2 linked regions of the Daphnia pulex genome follow. The protein of the gene in region 1 purifies or fractionates together with the protein of each later gene. This does not show direct contact. Links are inferred from orthologs where the notes say so. Each region holds a gene or a part of one and is shown in the gene's direction. Other genes may lie near its edges.

Region 1 (3,320 bases):
TACGGATCAAACAGTCTCCAAAGTTTATAACCGACAATTGCTGCCATTTTGGAAGAGCTTCTGCAACAGCTTGTGATCCTCTCCAGGTGAACGTGTTATCATTAAAGTTAAGAATTTTCAGGCCAGGGTTATAAACAAGCGCACTGGCCAATGCGAGAATACCAGGATGTCTTATAAAATTTTGAGGCATCTGGACTTCTTCCAAGGTTCCAACTGCCTAAAAACAAATATGCTGTAATTAAAATAATTAAATAATTACTGAAAATAAAAAAAACAGTGACCTTGAAAAATTCTGACAGAGCAATCGCTCCTTCATTTTCAAGTCGATTTCTTCCAACAATGAAGGTTTTCAGACTCAATGGAGAACCAGCCTCTTTACTGGCTTTAAGACAGTCATTTAAAGCTTGGGCAAGCATCTAAAGTAAAAGGTAGCAGTATTATGATTACAAATAAATGGAATTTTAGTTACCCGTCCACCATAAATTCCAAGGCCATTGTTGTTTAATCTTATACATTTTAGAGAATAGCAGACAGGGCTTTTCAAAAACTGAACAAGACCTTCCATACCAACTGGACCTAATGCATTATCACTCAAATCTAACTCAATTAAGTTAGCTTTAGCCAAAATGAGTCCTCCTCCTAAGAAACTCTATTTAAATAAACGGTGGTTAATACTGTTAATCGTCACATGCACCACAATCAAATTACCAAAGCTTTTGGAATTTCATCTTTCAACCGGCCAGTAAAAGCATCTTTCCACAGTGCTCTCTGGAAGGTTGGTTTGGATTCTAATGCTTTGGCAATAGCCTTGGCGGCTTCAACACCAAGAGTGTTTCCTTCAAGGATGAGACCTGTCAAACCTTTTGCAGCCTGAATTGCATTAACAATAGGTTGGGCTGTTGAAAAATTCCAATAAAAAGAACTTTAATCCCATTTATAAAGCAAACATAAAATCAGAACAAACCGTCGGCTTCCGTATCTAACTTGAGTCCTTTCCCGCTAAAATCTACTATTTCTTCTTTCGCATTCAAATTATTGGCTTCAGAGTCTCCATTAAACTTAGTCACTGCCCCATTCATTTCTTCGAAGTTGTTGGATGATTTTTATCAGGTTCAACCAAGATGACACTCTAAAGTGTAAGTGTAGTATTATTTTCTATTGAGACAAAAATTCACGTGTCTAATTTGAACGCTAACAGTCGGTTTATCGACTCCCTCGTACCCTCGAATTCCCAAGCAGAAATTTCTCTTTGTGCAGCGTTTTCACATTTCAAAAATAGGGTAGGCCTATTGACTTTAGAAAAATGAATTGTTAATTACTATTCATAACTAAATTTACACCTAACAGTATTTAATATTATTTTTAATTTAAAAAAATCAGTTGTATCAATTGGATTTCTGGCAGCATAAAAAAATTTATATGGAATTGTTTTTGACGTTTCTCCAACAGTCTGCTGTTTAGTCCTCTCAATCAGCAAAAATTTCCCATCTGTTCTGTATTGGGCCAAATAAAATCTAGACTGGTTCCTCTGTAAATATAAGAAGGAAACCCCTGTTAAGTTTTCCCAAATTTGTAGATCTCGTATTTGTGGAGCCGACATCATGATTAAGCTTTTTTCTCTTAAACAACAAAAGAAAGATGAAGTTCCAGGTCGGGCAGGAAATCAAAAGAAAGCATCCGCTGCCCAGCTGCGTATCACCAAAGGTCTATTGACTAAAAACAAGTTCTGACCTTGTGACCCGTGTTCCATTTATTTTAATATTTGTTATAATGTCTCGTAGATATTAATGAGTTAAATCTACCCAAGACTTGTCAAATGGAATTTCCTGACCAAGATGACTTGCTGAACTTCAAATTAATCATTTCTCCAGATGAGGTATTACGTATTATGAAATGCAAAATATTTATTTGATTTATAAAACTTTTTTATAATTATTCTGTTACAGGGTTTTTACAGAGGAGGGAAATTTTCTTTTAGTTTCAAAGTTGGTCCTGGTTATCCTCATGAACCACCCAAAGTGAAGTGTGAGACACAGGTGTATCACCCGAACATTGACCTTGAAGGTAATGTGTGTCTTAACATTCTACGAGAAGACTGGAAGCCAGTATTAACAATCAACTCCATAATTTATGGTCTGCAGTACCTTTTCCTGGTGAGCTCTTTTTCTCAGTTCATTGAAATCCATCTTGTTATTAGTAGTCCTAAATTCCCTAGAATTGATGTATGTTGGTTATTTTATTTCACTGTTCTTGTGTGATTTTCAAGGAACCCAATCCAGAAGATCCATTGAATAAAGAAGCTGCAGAAGTACTTCAAACAAACCGGCGATTATTCGAAACAAACGTCCAAAAATCCATGCGAGGGGGATATGTTGGTTCGGTAAGCTAAATTACTTTGAAATCATATTTAAAAATAACACAATCTTGTTTTGAACCTAATTGGGGAAAACAGGTTTATTTCGAACGATGCTTGAAATAACATCCGAATCAGATACAACAAAAAACGAATGGCTCTTTTCAACTTTGATTTCAAACGATTTTTAACATGGAAATTTTCATGTGCAGAAAAAATAAACATCCGCGTGTTTTGCGTTCCATCATTAGTTTTTTATTAAGTTTCATCATTCAGCTGTAATTTTTTCTTGAATATCCATCACCGTTCTTTACTCGATATACGGAACGATACACGGTTCAAGCAGAAGGAGGAAGGGAATGGATGACTAGGCTTTGCTACTGATGAGAATAGAAAGTATCGAACTATTCAGTGTTCCTACTTCCTACAAAGAGCGCATTATCAGCAGTTAGATTAACCTTCCCAAGCAAAGCCTAAATGCACAACACAAAAATTCCCCTCCAAAAAAAAGGCAACCAAAAAAACAAAACAAATGGGCAATTTAACCTAATCAGACAGATTCAATAAGAAAACCAGGCATTGATGAAAAAAGGTCAAAGCACAGCTATCAATAAATGTGATAGTGACGGATGTTATCAAATAGAACCATATTGATAAGGAATTATACGATAACGTTAGTAAGAAACATTCATCTGCTAAATGGTGAAGTAGACCCATTTCCTCCGAAATTAAAAGAATCGGGAACCGTTTGTTGGTTGAAACTGTAGCCTGAAGAATTTAAAAAAAGAGAAAAAAAAAATTGTCTTATGATTATCATTAACACAAATCTAGGAAATTCTTACCTCCAGCCTCTTCAATCCGCTTACTTTCAGCGGCTGCGCGTCGTTGATCAGCAAGAACAATTACGTCGTTTAGGGCTTTTTGCTGATCACCTGTCAGAGCTCCAGTCAAAGCGTTGTACCAACCG
Region 2 (3,665 bases), on another chromosome or scaffold:
ACTCGTTGATCAATGGATTCAAGAACTTGTTGGCTGTTGCTGCCGCAACCAACATCGAGTTCAAAGAAGCCATGACGGTTAAGGAGTTCTTGAAGGATCCCAGCAAGTTCGTTGCTGCCGCCGCTGCTGCTGCTCCTGCTGCTTCCGCCGCCCCGGCCGCCGCTGCTGCTGCTGCTCCCAAGAAGGAGGAAAAGAAAGAAGAATCCGAAGAAGAGGATGATGATATGGGTTTCGGTCTCTTCGACTAGACGCTCTTGTCAGATTTTGATCCAGTTCTGTTTACAGTTGATGAAATGTTATTACATGGTGAGCTTTGACTCATGTACCGCGGATACTTTTATGAACTGTAATAAACTGACGATTAACGGAATGATTCGTGCTTAACTTATTCTTTTGATATCCCAGTTTGTCTTGAACGATTCTTTCATTAATAAGGTTCAAGTTTCCTCTGCATTAATTGACATAATTTCTTGAAGCGGGTACGCGGCGTTTGGGTGGATGTAATAAATGAAAAGTAATTCGGACGCATACTCAATTGCACTTTGCATTAATTTATTCAAACCGCAAAATATAAGAATTTACAATATGTATTAAATATCTCATTCAATGTTATCATGAATTTTAACAACATCGGGCTCTTCTTCCAACTTACTATAGAGCTTAGAAACTAATGCTAAGTCTTCTTCGGATTCAATCTGAACTCTATTTCGTGGGATATAGAGCAAGTCAGATTCTATTATGCAATAGCCAAGCTGACTAACAGATCTCTTGACATTCAAAAAATCCCTTGGGCTGCATGTGAAGACAAACTTGCCATCTTCATCAGCTAGAAATTACCACAGAATTTCGGATAATTGCATAATGTATATATTTCACTTGAATGATACCTGTTACATCTTCCGCCCCGACGTTAATAGCATCGTCAAGTACTTGCTCAATAGTTTGGCCAATAGATAATGGTGACACCTTGATTAATCCTTGATGGTTAAACAGATTGTTTGAAACTCCTTCTGCCCATGATGCACTGACAAGAAAGGATTATTATTACTTATAAGTCAATTCATACACTACATTTACCAGTAATTTTAAACTTACTTGAATTTCCTGTTGATTGTATTGATGCCTTGTCTTGCTTTCAAATAACTAGGAGTGAGAACTTCTACCACGAAAAAGGTTCCCACTGGTCCTCTTACTTCCATAACATAAGGTTTTAAATCCTCAGTAGACTGATCAGCATTCTTTAGAATATGTTTCAACTTTTCAGAGGGCACATTATGATGCCTTGCTTGATCTACAAGATGACTAAGTTTTATATTTTGTTTTGGATCTGCCGAGCCATGTTCTGCAACAAAGAATTGTATGTTAATGCTAAACTTTGTTTCAACCAAAAATTAATACTCAGTATACAAACCTTTAATAGCTGCCTGATTGTTGTGATTGAAATTCAAGAAAATGTTATAGTTACACTAATAATGAGAACACAAATTCAAAATACCCTAATTTGACGAAAAATTCTTAGATGTAAAGTTGCTCTTTCAGCATCCTTTGCACCCTTCACATGTTTGATGTTGGCCCATTTACTATGCCCAGCCATGTTTCTTGAGAGCGGAATCAAAATACCCAAACGAATCTTTTGAAACATGATAAATTATTGTTAATATTTTTTGAATTATTATAAAAAGAAAACAAAATGCAGTTCCGGTAAATATCTTTTCGTCTGCTGTTTTAGTCTCGCTACAACGTCGACTGCTACGCTTTCAACTTCTTCTTTTCAAACGCAGATCACTTCCTGATATTCGATTTTCTTGAATAAAACAATGGAGACTGAAGAGAATAATCAGAATGTTAACCATGTAATGGCTTCATCGGGGGCGACAGGAAGTATATCAGTTTTATTGCATCCCTTGGTTGTGATGAATATATCTGAACATTGGACTCGAGTGAGAGCCCAGGAAGGGAAAGCACAGCAAGGTAATGTTTATGTGATGTACATTTTAACTCTTTATTTATTTTGTATACACAATTTCATAGTGATTGGTGCACTCATTGGAAAGCAGAAAGGAAGAAGCCTAGAAATCATGAATTCCTTTGAACTGGTTTTCACTGTTATTGAGAATGTGGTAATTGACCGAGATTACTACAACACAAAAGAGGAGCAATGTATGAAATTTCCCATTCTTTACTTATTAAATGTTCTTCATAATTTCTTTTTATCTTTAGTCAAGCAAGTGTTTAGTGATATGGATTTCCTTGGCTGGTATACCACTGGAGATGCTCCCAATGAATCTGACATTCATGTCCACAAACAAATATGTGAGATTAACGAAAGTCCTGTAATTTTGAAGCTTAATCCTTTTACACGAAATGCTGACCTCCCTGTAACAATGTATGAATCTGTAATTGATCTTGTCAATGGAGAGGCAACTATGCTCTTTGTTGAATTGACTTATACTTTGGCCACAGAAGAGGCAGAAAGAATTGGAGTTGATCATGTTGCTAGAATGGCTTCTGGTGATTCAGCTGAAAGTTCTCAAGGTAATTTTAATTCATTAACATTATCCTTATGAAACTGTCATGGACATACTTTTCTTTTTTAAACAGTGGCGGAACAATTGCAAGCCCAACACAACGCAGTAAAAATGCTTGCCAACCGAGTGCGATTGATATTAGAATACATTCGAGCCATGGAGAGAGGAGAGGTTCCAAAGTCTCACGAAGTCTTACGCGAAGCTAAATCTCTGACCCACAGGTTACCTGTCCTCAACTCTGAAATTTTCCAGGAGGAATATTACACCGTAATTATATCTTAACTCTTTGTTAATTGGGTTGATTTTTCTAATCTTGTTTTCTTTTGTCTTGTAGCAATACAATGATGTCTTGCTGCAAACCTATTTGGCATCCATTACCAAAGCATGTCACGACCTTCACCAGTTTGTCACCAAATTCAACATACTTTGCGACCGTCAAGGCATAATGGGTCGCCGAATGCGTGGTCTCTTTTTCTGAATTGTGAGCATTGTATAACATATTTAAGGAAACATGCTTTGTGCCCTACCTAATACATATTGGTTTTGATCAAGATTCCCATTTCAGCTACATTTCCATCCAAGGTGTGTATTGAAAATGTCAGCTTAATCATGGCAGTGTAATATCAAGTCCATATGGATTATTTTTCTTAAGTTTATTGGCCTCGTAATTTAAGGCGTCCTTTGTTAATACAGAGTGTTAGTATGAGATTAGCAGTCTGTTGGATTTGACAAATCCGGCAAATCCGATACACTGGAGATTAGCTTACATCGAAACTATGGGTCCTAGCCAAGATGTTGGTTATTTAAAGATTTACTCGACTTAACAATATCGTTCGTTGTTTGGCAGTTTTTTTGTAATTTTTAAAATTATTTAATGAATTCGTGATCCAATATAACTTAAATTAATTGTAGTTGAGCTCACAGAAAAAAGGAAATTTTGGCATCTAAAATTATTTGATTCAGATTCCAATCTTTTTTTCCAATTCATTTTGACAACACTGGAAAAATGTGTTATAATATTATGCCAAAATGTGTAGGTACAGATTTACAACGCCGATCATAATCGCAACGACATCTTTATTTAACAGCTTTTCAGTAAGCTTCTGGTTTTTTTGGCTATTCTGGTTGAATTTTCCT

What was found.
Region 2: the proteins of NEDD8-conjugating enzyme Ubc12 (region 1) and COP9 signalosome complex subunit 6-like purify together in Homo sapiens (affinity purification with mass spectrometry; 3 studies listed by BioGRID and IntAct, counting the BioPlex papers as one, with this or other methods). This does not show direct contact. The link is inferred for Daphnia pulex from reciprocal best matches to the Homo sapiens genes UBE2M and COPS6.

The regions. Positions count from the first base shown.
Region 1 is NC_060024.1:11,931,550-11,934,869, reverse strand, and holds NEDD8-conjugating enzyme Ubc12, read left to right. Parts: upstream 1-1,426; 5' UTR 1,427-1,601; coding exon 1,602-1,704; intron 1,705-1,781; coding exon 1,782-1,876; intron 1,877-1,946; coding exon 1,947-2,153; intron 2,154-2,266; coding exon 2,267-2,380; intron 2,381-2,452; coding exon 2,453-2,479; 3' UTR 2,480-2,603; downstream 2,604-3,320. Other genes in the region: ran GTPase-activating protein 1-like, read right to left, coding at 1-217, 282-416, 470-649, 709-896, 965-1,079; importin-7-like, read right to left, coding at 3,042-3,121, 3,196-3,320.
Region 2 is NC_060019.1:12,303,442-12,307,106, forward strand, and holds COP9 signalosome complex subunit 6-like, read left to right. Parts: upstream 1-1,729; 5' UTR 1,730-1,817; coding exon 1,818-1,971; intron 1,972-2,031; coding exon 2,032-2,160; intron 2,161-2,220; coding exon 2,221-2,535; intron 2,536-2,601; coding exon 2,602-2,795; intron 2,796-2,862; coding exon 2,863-3,006; 3' UTR 3,007-3,081; downstream 3,082-3,665. Other genes in the region: 60S acidic ribosomal protein P0-like, read left to right, coding at 1-248; probable transcriptional regulatory protein FMG_0893, read right to left, coding at 600-826, 888-1,024, 1,096-1,342, 1,412-1,424, 1,496-1,642. UniProt on the Homo sapiens protein: Component of the COP9 signalosome complex (CSN), a complex involved in various cellular and developmental processes.